3 linked regions of the Cricetulus griseus genome follow. The protein of the gene in region 3 interacts with the protein of the main gene of each other region in a pairwise test. Links are inferred from orthologs where the notes say so. Each region holds a gene or a part of one and is shown on either strand. Other genes may lie near its edges.

The links.
Region 1: the proteins of Prkra (region 3) and Lyar interact in binary tests that used the Homo sapiens proteins (3 or more experiments, as listed by UniProt). The two-hybrid records come from large-scale screens. The link is inferred for Cricetulus griseus from reciprocal best matches to the Homo sapiens genes PRKRA and LYAR.
Region 2: the proteins of Prkra (region 3) and Adarb1 interact in binary tests that used the Homo sapiens proteins (3 or more experiments, as listed by UniProt). The link is inferred for Cricetulus griseus from reciprocal best matches to the Homo sapiens genes PRKRA and ADARB1.

The regions. Positions count from the first base shown.
Region 1 is NW_023276807.1:107,176,354-107,180,003, forward strand, and holds part of Lyar (cell growth-regulating nucleolar protein), read left to right. Parts: intron 1-1,096; 5' UTR 1,097-1,147; coding exon 1,148-1,269; intron 1,270-1,902; coding exon 1,903-2,017; intron 2,018-3,551; coding exon 3,552-3,650. UniProt on the Homo sapiens protein: Plays a role in the maintenance of the appropriate processing of 47S/45S pre-rRNA to 32S/30S pre-rRNAs and their subsequent processing to produce 18S and 28S rRNAs. Also acts at the level of transcription regulation.
Region 2 is NW_023276806.1:261,477,028-261,481,240, reverse strand, and holds the start of Adarb1 (double-stranded RNA-specific editase 1), read right to left. Parts: upstream 2,802-4,213; 5' UTR 2,755-2,801; coding exon of another isoform or gene 2,727-2,754; intron 2,492-2,726; 5' UTR 2,311-2,491; coding exon 2,271-2,310; intron 1-2,270. UniProt on the Homo sapiens protein: Catalyzes the hydrolytic deamination of adenosine to inosine in double-stranded RNA (dsRNA) referred to as A-to-I RNA editing.
Region 3 is NC_048599.1:98,417,057-98,420,706, forward strand, and holds part of Prkra (interferon-inducible double-stranded RNA-dependent protein kinase activator A), read left to right. Parts: intron 1-2,058; coding exon 2,059-2,233; intron 2,234-3,650. UniProt on the Homo sapiens protein: Activates EIF2AK2/PKR in the absence of double-stranded RNA (dsRNA), leading to phosphorylation of EIF2S1/EFI2-alpha and inhibition of translation and induction of apoptosis.

The sequences.
Region 1 (3,650 bases), on a different chromosome or scaffold from region 3:
CGAGGCAGAGGGATCTTTGTATACCAGGATGGACATTTCCATTTAGAGCTCAATGGAAGAAAACAGTCCTGATGTTGCTTTGGTATGACCTCACCAGCACTGCAAGGGGTGGGGTGGGGGGTTGGAATGGAGTTCATGCTTGAGAATTTACTGTAAAATCTCAGTGGTAAGGAGTTCTCACAGGAAGCAGAGAAGCAAGTCCTGTGTGTCTTGGTCCTAACCTTCATTTCATACTGAGGAAATGGGTGCTGGACTAGGCAGCTCTCGGTATTTGGGCTGAACAAAGCCCATTTTAGTAAGAACATCACTGCTCTTTTAAAGACCAGTGATTATAAAAGGCTATGTAAGCATGGAAAGTTACTGTGGCAATTGTAACACTTTAGGGATCTGTTTGCAGAGTACAGTAGCATGCATGCAATGTGAACTGGCTATGTGTGTGTAGATGCCCTCCATACTGGGTGCACATAAGGAGGCTGGCACATCTGGGTTTGGGGGTGACCATAATTGGTTCCTTTTCTTTCTTCCTGCCTGATGTACACAGACCCTAATAGAATGAGTTCATTTGTCCCTGTCCACTGAGGCCAAGGGGATGTCTTCATGTTAACATTTGTAATTCCATCATTGAGCATGTAGGAATCATTTTTAGTCTTCAGTGGAATTGTTCTTTAGCTTCTCCACTTGCTAAACTCTGCTGCTTGCCCCTTTGCTTTGTTGGTGTTGTAGTCACAGTTACAGTATGCACTGCACACCTGCACTGTGGTGCTTGTTAACACTTTGATTTTGTACATTTTATATAAGGGGGAGTGCTTGAAATCATTAGTGAAAGCTTTATCTATGCTGCTAATCTGCCAGGCTTAAAGCTTTTTATGCTCTCCTGGGCAAGTTTATGCCACTGTGGCCTCTTAGAAACCTTGACCCATGACATCCTTCCCCAGTAAGCTCATTGCAAGGGCTCAATACATTAGCTCCTGAGTATAATTCCTGGCTTGTGCTGAGCACTCAGCTGGTTCTTCTGATAATGCTCTTTTATTGTGGAATTCATGTATTGGAAGAAGTTTCTGCTTATTATAATATCTTTATCTTGTTTTGTTTTTAGGGCAAGAGTTCAAACCTGTCTCAGGTAGAATATTTAGTCATTTAACCAAAAATGGTATTTTTTACATGCAATGCATGTGGTGAATCAGTGAAGAAAATACAGGTGGAAAAGCACGTATCTGTCTGCAGAAACTGTGAATGTCTTTCTTGCATTGACTGTGGGAAAGATTTCTGGTAAGTTCTGATACTTAGATCCAGGTATAGAAGTCCAGACCCCACAAAGCTTGGGAAGATAGAGGAGCAAACTGAGGACAGAGAACAAAAAAGAAACCTTAGTGTCTGTTGACTAAACTTGGTGTGATTCTCCAGGGAGTGCCATTTCATTTTAAGGACTTGTTAAATTGAAGACCAAAGGGACAGGATCCTGTTGGTTAGAGAATTTGGGGCTAGTAACTTAGTACACACACAGTTTCAGGAACATATAGTTTATAGTTTAGTGGCAGAGCTCTTGTCTGGTATGCATGAGGCCCTAGGTTCAATTCCCAGCACCACCACCCCCCCAAAAAAGTTTTTAGAGAAAATTTAATCATTCAGAACCCTGGCTAGAATTTTGCTTCCTTTATTATCCAATGCAAGGAAGTGAGCACTCAGAATAAGGGACTTTCTGGGCGTTACAGGGCGGGGAGGTGGCACTTTGTTGTGGTTCTGTCAGATCTCATTGCTCTGAAGAAATCAACAAAAAAGCAGAATAATTAGGCTGTTTGTGCAGTTGGCCAAGTATGGAAAATCACAAAGAGTAAGCAGTGTACTCTTTGAGAGCCATTAGCACGTTGTCAGTCTAGTGATAAGACGTGGTTCCCTCTGCAGGGGTGATGACTATAAAAGCCACGTGAAGTGCATCAGTGAAAATCAGAAGTATGGAGGCAAAGACTATGAAGCCAAGACACATAAAGGTGATGCAAAGCAGCAGGCATGGATTCAGGTAAGTGTTTCTGTCCAGCCTGTCACTCATCCCACACTTCTATAAGTGCCACCTGTGCAGACAAGTCCCAGAGACAGCATACCTTGGGGTGGAGCACAAGTGTGAGAACATCTTGAGAAAGATAAAATTGTGGTTTGTTTATCTTTGGCTTCTGTGTTTTATAAATTGTGCTCAGCATATTCGTGGGTTCCTGCTAACTTTCTTTTGGCTGTAAAATGAAACTGAACCATAGAGTTTAAACCATCTGAACACATCTGAACAAAGTTAAAAGTTTCAGAAATGTAAGGAATTTTCTAGTTAAATACAATGAAAATATTTACAAAAGCAGTGAGCTCCATTTTGAAAGAAGGGGAGATTGCTGTACAGATAACATAGCACCTTTGTGGAGACTGCATTTTCTTGAAAATCAAATTAGTTCCCCCATTGAGTGCCAGAGTGTGAGTGTAAACTTGGGGTGTTGGCTCTCTTGACGGTGCATAATCCTGGCACGACCCTCATGAAGGACTTAACAGTGGCTACCCAGTTGAGAAGCTGCTGAAATCTTTAAGATGTGATAGTGCTGGCAGGGTGGCTCAGCTAGGATGCAGGTGCTGGCCACCAAGTCTGAGAACTTGAGTTTAGTCCTCAAGGACTCACCTACTACCAGAGAAGTGATTGATACAAGTTGTCCTCTAACCTCCACAAAAACACCTTTCACAGCACCCCATTGAGCCATCCTGCTGGCCCTCAATATTGTCTATCTGGTGTCATGTGTAAGAAATCATTACCAGATTAGATATTTTGAAGTTCTTTGATACATTTGGGGCTATTTTTTATGTAACATGAGGTCCAATTTAATTTCCATGTTAGGATCCACTATTCCTGGTACCATTTGTTGAAAAGGAGTCCATTTCAAGCTGGACTAGGCTTGATATCCTTGTCAAAAACCCTTTAACCATATCCTCAGGGGCTTGTTCCTGCATTTTCCAGTGGTCTTTGTGGCAGTAGTACCACACTCTTTGGATCATTGTAGCTTTGTAGTAAGTTTCCAATTAAAAAACAAAACAAAACAAAAAAACAACTTATTTCAAGATTGCTATTGTGTTTGGAGTGCCTCAGGGTTCCATGTGAATTAGTTGACATGTACAACTGGACTTTGCTATGGCTTTCAGGTTGACATCTTAATATTGTATTGCAAATGAAATTCTCCCAGTGTTCACATTTGAATTGTTTTTGTTGGTGTGTAAAAATGCAGCTTGCTTTTTAAGAATTGTGTATTCTGCAGCTCTGCTGAATGAGTTGTTAATTCTAACTGGTTGCCCCCTCTAGAGCTTTCTGCAAGCAAGACCATATTCCTTCAAATGCTGCCTGTGAATATTTGACCTGATTTTGTTCCTTCTGTTAGGAAGGCTTTGGCCAGGGCATCAGTGCTGTGTGGAATAGGAGAGTATTTGTCATTATGCATAGATGTAAATATAGAATCTTGGCTTTGAAGGTGAGAGCCCTTTGGCCAAGCCAATATGTCAGTTCATTTTCTTCTTCTTTTTTTAAATAGAAAATTAATGAATTAATAAAGAAACCCAATGTCAGCCCTAAGGTTGGAGAACTTTTGCAGCAAATCAGTGCTTTTGACAATGTTCCCAGAAAAAAGGCA
Region 2 (4,213 bases), on a different chromosome or scaffold from region 3:
GGCATGCTGGTGCATACCTGCTATTCTATGACTCAGGGAGGAGTTGAGAGTTAAGAGGACAAACTAGGCTACACACAGCTATGACCTTGTCTCAACCTCCCACCAAGCAAAAAGAAAAAAAATATTTTTTTCAAAGTGGGAGTGTTCAGTTCTCCTTTTAGGTTTATTAAGTCTTCTTAAAAAAAAAAAAAGGAAAGAAAAATTCCTCTTTTATCATTTGGTTTTGCAGTCCTGTGCAGTGTGCCCAGTGCAGTAGGGCTGTGCAGTGCCTACTTATACCCCCAACCACTAGCTCCTAAAATCCAAAGTAAATCTTTTTTTAAAAGAAAGATTTACTTATTTTTATGTGTGTTGGTGTTTTGCTTGCATGTATGTCTGTGTGAGGGTGTAAGGTCCCCTGGAAATGGAGTTACAGACTCTTGTGAGCCACCATGTGGTTGCTGGGAATTGAACTCAGAACCTCTGGAAGAGTAGCCAGTGCTCTTAACCCCAGAACCATCTCTCCATCCCCCAAAGTAAATCTTAATTGATGATAATATTCCTAAATATAGTGGCTTCAGGGGTCTATCTTCACTATGCAACATGCCAACAGATTTTCTGTGTGTCAAACCATCTGAAAACACTGAAAATGTTCCTCAGTGAGCCCATGGGTGGGGTTAATGTGATGAATGTCTTGGTTGTTGCTGCCAGTCTCTGGAGTAAAGGATTACAGATGCCCAGGGCCATCATTATTCAGCCGAGACAGCAAGACTACTAAGATAAACTCAGTCCATGGAAAATCTCATGTGTGGGGTGGGGGGGGAGGGGGTCTCTCAATAGACACCTCTTCCCAGAGCACTCCTGACACACACACCACTTCTCCCAGCTGACAAAGCTAATGGAATGGGCACTAAATTTTCATTTATAACATCCTCCAGCAAAAGACCGGTAGGTTACTCCTTTCGGTACTCAGGGAACAAAAGGTGAAAAGGTAGAGCAAAGACGGATAGAGAGATTAATAAGGATTAATAAAAGGGGAGAACATCACATACTACATTCTGTTCACAGTTCAAGTTTTTCAGCAAACAGAATTAACAGCATAGGAACAAACATCATCAACAAGGCACTCCGACACGCATTTAGCCAAACATTAATGATGGCAAATAGCCAAATGCCCTCAGAACTAAGTTAACAGTCAGGATTATGAGAAAAAAATACGCTTGCTGTGACAGTTGAAATCATTCTCAACCCTTACTCACTTCAGAAGAAAAGGTAGCAATTGCATGTTATCAAAAAATTCTCCTGAGCAAACAGAAATAACAGACTCCAGTTAGAGACAGAGCCCACTCTCTGCTGAAGCAGGCACTCTCTCTCTCTCTGCATGCCACACTGCTGCGTTTGGAATGGGAACCCAATCACAGTGGGACTGCAACGGCTTTTAAAACCACAAGAGACACAGGCTTACAGGTTTACACTAGACCCAAAAGTTTATTTTTACAGGACTATTATTTGGGAGGAACCTTCCTTAGTTAAATTAGCCAAGGCTCAATGGTGATGGCCACAGCTGGAGACACAACCCACAGTTCCAAGTCAGCAGGTATTTCTGGGGACACCTTCATATATTCCCCGGGGAGGTGTTACTGGGTTGGCACAGCAGTGGTAATACTGTCTGAAATGTAGAGTTTAAAACCTGGCAACACTGAGTGTCACAGTGGATCTGCCAGCAAAACCACAACTTAAACTGTCTCTAGAGCAGAACTGAGAAGTGACCAGAGAGCTGTGAGCAGTGACCACATCTGCAGAGGAAAAAACATGCCAGCTACTACACCACTCTGAACGGCACTGGGCAGCTGCTTCCTGCCAGTCAGTGGTCATTCTCAGGGTAGAGGATGTCTACTGCAAAGCCCACCCCAGCACAGCAGTGGGGTACAGACTGGCCTCACACAGTGCTGTCAGGCTCTGAGTGTCCCAACTACTGGGCTGAGTCATGGAGAGCATGCTAAGCCCGGTTCTCACCATCATACCACCCCCAGGATATGTGGTTCTGCTGTGCAGCTGCATGTCCTTCCTTCAGAGAGACAGAGCACCTTAGCTGGAAAAATGCTGCTTCCAGGCAGCTTTCCCTTTGGACCTGCTCTTCTCTGGGACTGAGGGTGGGCAGAAGTAACTGGTGACTCACAGAGAACAATGCCAAGGGAGGAATCATTGGTGTACCTGTGGCCCCAGCCCCCCAGCCCCATGGAAGATGGTGTGGAGAATAGAAAGAACCCCAGTGGGGGTTTGGTTCATACTAGCACCAGTCGTGTTCCAGTCTTCAGAGACTAAGATCATGTGGACTGCCTTCCCTCCAATGCAGGAGCAGCAACTGTGTTTGAAGGGAGCTTTATGAACTGTTATCCCAGTGACCAGGTATCTGAGTCAATCAAAAAGGTTTTCTTGAGCTTTATTGTAAGAATCATAACTTCACATGAAGCCACACAGCATTATGAGACAAGCACCTAGAGGCATATTTCTGGAATAAAAATGATGGTCCCATGATGATAATGAGGAATTAAAACTCTAGATAGGTGGCTGTAAGGAAAATGTCCACAGTAAATATTGATGGCTATTATACAAAAACCCATCACTGCCAACAGCCCACATCTTAGGAAACATCAAACTGGTCTTACTTATCAAATATACAAAAGCACTAATATTTTAATGGGACATGAACTACTTGGGCACTATGTAATAGGCCTAGATCTTACTCATATTTTCTTCATCTTCTATATCCATGGTAAAATGCTTTTGAGGGTTTCTTGACTGACGGAGACCACTTCTGTCTGAAAGACAGCAAAAAACAATATTTAGTGTGTGATCCTGGCAAAATGAGGTATGTCCTCTTTGTGTACTGTTCACCACAGCACAGCAATGAAAAAGAAACAAATATCATGAAAAGTAATGGGCTTATCATTTGGGAAGGAATATTTTCAGTCTCTTTCATCTCCTCTCAGCACTCTCCAGGGCACCTGACTTAGCAGCCTTATGTGGAGGGACAGTGGAGGCAAGGAAGGTGTCTCCACAAAGGAAGCTAGGGCAGTATGCAGGAACTTCATGCTCTACTCCAGGGAGTAAAGGGTCACTAAGGGTTCCAGACCAGGGACAAGGTGGTAATTCTAACCCATAATGGCCTGCTGTCAACAACTATGTCATAGCAGTTCACAGAATTACAATAAGCTGTTTGCCTTCTACTTTCTCTCTGCCCTTGTAGGTCTATGAATGGTAATAAAGTGATGTCACATTAACAAGACACAACAATTTTTTTTAAGTTTTTTGGAGACAGGGTTTCTCTGGGTAGCCCTGGCTGTCCTAGAACTTGCTCTGTAGACAAGGCTGGCCTCAAACTAACAGAGATCCATTTTGTTTCTGCCTCCCAAGTGCTGGGATTAAAGGTGTGCACCACCACTGCCCAGATGACACCCCAAGTGTTTCACCTACACTTCCATGAACCCCAACAGCATTCACAGGAGAACAAAATGTGTATAGTAGCTTAAATCTAATGCAATTTAAACTAACACAATTCCTTCACCACACACAACTATTAGCAGGAGAAACCAAGAAAAGACCTAAAGAAAAATTTCAACTGCCCAATCACTAACAAATCTAAGGTTTTCCTCTTCCCAAATATTTCTGATAAATTGCAATTAAGAGAAAAAGATTTGTAAAATTTGAAGTCTTTGTATTCCTTTGTATACAGATTTGTTTTATCAATATCAATAAAGTAAATTCCTTGCTTTTAGGAAAATTTTGATTAAATATGCTAGGTAGTATATATATTTCACATAGCACTTACATGATGGAGTTTCTACATAGAATCTTTTATTAAAGGTTTTCAAGGGTTTGGAGAGATGATTCAATGGTTATAATAAGCACTGGAGGATCTTCAGAGGGCCCAGGTTTGATTCCCTGTACCCACAAGGAAGCTCAAAACTGACTGTAACTTCAGTCCCTGGGGATATGAGACCCTTTGTGGTCTCCATGCACATGGTGCCACAGACATACAGACATGCAGGCCAAATACACACACATATGAAGTAAAAATAAAATAAAAATAATCTTAAAATAAATCTATAAAGGCATTATCACTTTATATTAATCCATTATTTTAAGATATAGTTCAAGTATCTATTATGTTTAAAACATTCCTGGGTACCATAAGAACCTAAAATGAATCAGACAGATTTTGCATTGAGGA
Region 3 (3,650 bases):
TGAGACCCTGTCTCAAAAACAAAACACCTATTAGAAACAATAACAGAATGTGTCGTTAAATTAATGTCCAAACCCAGTAGTTTTCACATCTTCTAGTCTTACAAAAATAACAACTAGAGTAGTTAAAAAGAGAAGGTTAAATTATTGCTATGAGAAAAGAGATTGAAGGTAAGAAGAGGGTAAGGCACTTGTGTACTTTAGAATTTTTTGTGTATGTGTAGATGTACATAGACTAATAAAAACCTGAGAGCTTGTGAGACAGCTCAGTTGGTGAAGTGCTTGGTATGCAAGCATAAGTACCTAAATTCAGAAATCTAGCTCTCATAAAAAGCCAGGCACAAAGGCTGGTAATCCCAGTGCTGGGAAGACCGAGACAAGAGGACCCCTGGGGCTTGCTTGTCAGACAGGCTAGTTGAATCTGTGAGCTTCAGGCTCAGGGAGAGAGACTCAAACAGTAAGGTAGAGAGTGATTGAGGAAGATGCCCAGTGTTGACACATGTGTAATCACGTTCTTGAATATACTAAATGTACACATATACCATACCACACATACACACCATAAAACAAATTTTAAAAATAAAAAAAAGATATTTTCTGGAAAAAGAGAAAATCTATTCTGAAAAAAGGTATACTAGAAAAAAGTCAATTATTTTCTTATTTATAAAGCCAATAGCTACAGTATAAAAAAATCCATTTTCAATATTAAAAATGGAGTGATATGTTTCTAATAAACTTGAATAGAAGTGTGCAAGCATTCACACAGGAGCCCTTGAAAACCCTACTGAAAAATATAACAGAAGTTAAATTAATGTGGCATTATTTCTTCTTTTCACATAGAGACTTGGTATAGTAAATACATAAAAATGCAAGTTGTGTTACTCTAAATATACCAAAATTCAATTTGGACCTCAGTAGGACTTTACTAAGCTTATCTGGAAAAAAAACAAAAAACAGATCCTTGAGCACAACTAAGAACCCTAAAAAGCAAGAATTTGAAGTGGCCCAGGGTGCGTGCCCTCTCAGAGAGTAATGCAAACTATGAAACTGTAATGACATAGGTTCCTGGTGGGAGAGCAGAACAGAATTCAGGAGTAGGTGCAAATATACTGTCACCTAGTGATGGTAACAGTGATTTCAGATCAGTAAGAAAAGGGATGGTTCGGCTGTGGTGTGGACCACTAACAGCCCTGTATGAGGGGACCAGATAGTGTGTTTGGATGTGTGTCGTCATGGATATAGATTGCTCATCCCCATACCAAAATAAATCTGAGATAGGTCAAAGATTAAGCATAAATAAAACTGTAAGTACTAGAAAACATGGAAGATCTTTTCAAAAAATCTTGGGTGTGGGGCATCTTTTTAACTATAACTTAAAATCTAGAATCTGAAAGCAAACGAATTTGACTAGAACCTACTGTGATACAACCAAAATTCTATAATTAAAAGCAATATAACTAAAACAAAAAAAGAAGTCAGTGTTCATTCATGTAAAGTCCAAGCAAATCAATTTAAAAAAAAAAAAAGGCCAGTAGGAAATTACAAAAGAAAGAAAAGAAAAAATATTCAGTTTATTCATGCAAAATAAGCTATTTTTATCTTTTAAGTTAGTGGCAGCTATAGTGTTTAGTAACTAACTGATATTAGTGAGAGCGTGAAAGTACAAGCACCTTCAGTTGGTGGGTATATAGAATAGTATTTCTTACATTTGTTTGAATGTGTGGTGGGGGCAAGGTGCATTGCATAGAGGTTGGAGGGTGGTTTGCTGAAGGAGTAGGTTCTCTTCTTTTGCCCTATGGGTCTGAGTGATCAAACTCAGCTGAGCCAACTTTCTGGCCCAAGCTGCAAGAACTTATCAAAATAAAAGCATTTCTGTTGGCAGTGTCTCTCCTAGGCCTAATTCTGGAAAGAAACAAACCTGGGTCCTCTGGAAAAGCAGCCAGTGCTCCTAAGCCTTGAGCTATCTCTCCAGCTCCTCACCAGTGCTTTCAGTTACACTGGTACTGATATTGGAACAGGTCCAGTTAGGAAACTAAATTTTCCTTCATCTCTGCTTTTTAGACAAATGTGGTTGGACATTCCCTAGGATGTACTTGGCATTCGTTGAGGAATTCCCCTGGTGAAAAGATCAACTTACTGAAAAGAAGCCTCCTCAGTCTCCCGAACACAGACTATATCCAACTGCTTAGTGAGATTGCCAAGGAGCAAGGTTTTAGCATAACCTATTTGGATATAGGTATGGATTCTTGTTTATCCTGACATGTTTCATCTCATTCCCTTTTGTTTTATTGTTGGTTGGTTTTGAGACAGGATCCCTTGTATCTCAGGCTGACATTGAATACCTACCTGGTCTTTCATCCACCTCCCAAGTGTTGGGATTGTGGGAACAAATGTCACTACTATGTCCCATCTCTGTAGATTTTCATTTAATTCAATTTATATACCTGTTTAATGTGTGTGTGTGTGTGTGTGTGTGTGTGTGTGTGTGTGTGTACACGTGTGTACATGCACACATGTACATGCATGTTTAGTGTCTTGATTTTAACATCAGAACAATGTGCTATCCCTGTTGAGTGAGATGTAAAGACCTGGACTGTCTAAGCTTCCAGCACTGGAAAAGTAGAGCCTAGGGGTGGAAAGAACCTGCAGTAGTCTCTGCAGCCATGAGTCAAATGCAGAGTCTGGATAAACAGTAGATGCTGCAGCACCTGGGGAGCAAATGCAGATAGGTGGTCTGGAGGACAGCTGATGAGAGACCATTCCAGAAGTATTTATCAGTGTCCTCAGTTTGCTAAAGGCCTGGAATACATGGAGGACTGAGCTGTCGTGACCAGGACTAAGAGGAAAAACAGAATGTGGGATAAGAAGGACACCTGCAAGGATGTTTTTTTATTATGAGCTGATGATGCCTTTGACATCCTTCTCACTAACTTAAAAATGAAATAGTCCTAGAGCATCTGGAACTGGCGTTTGACCATCTCCAGTGCAGTGCTGTCCATGGAAACAGGCAAATGAGCTGGGATGATGGCCAGCACTTAGGGGGCTGAGACAGGAGGATCAACACAAGTTTGAGACCAACCTGGCATTATAGTGAATTGTACACCCATCAGAGCTACAGAGTGAGATGAGAGAGGAGGAGGGAGGGACGGAGGGAGAGGGGGAAGGGATGAGGAGAGAAGAGAAGAGAAGAGAAGAGAAGAGAAGAGAAGAGAAGAGAAGAGAAGAGACAACAAGCAAAGCATCTGCAATAGTGTTCAACCTCATTATTTCAAAGAAGAATACAAATTAAAGTCACAGAAAAGTACCCCTTCAAACCCAGTCAGAAAAATGGGAAATAGCAAATGTCTGTGAGATTCCAGTTTGGAACCTCATACATTGGTGTTCAGGTATAAAATGGTGCAACTGCCCAATAAAAAGATTATCAGCAACTCATGTGACCAAGAAACTTCACTCCTGGGAATTGAAACTAGTATTCAAATACCAGTAATGACATGTTCATAGTTTACTAGTCCCAAGAGCCAAGAAGTAGAAGTAGGTCAGATGTTGGAGGAATGAGTGGATAAACAAATTCTTGAATATTCATTCAACGAGATGCCATTTGGCCACAGAAGAAAATGAAGTTCTAGTACCTACCACAACATAAACAAACTTGA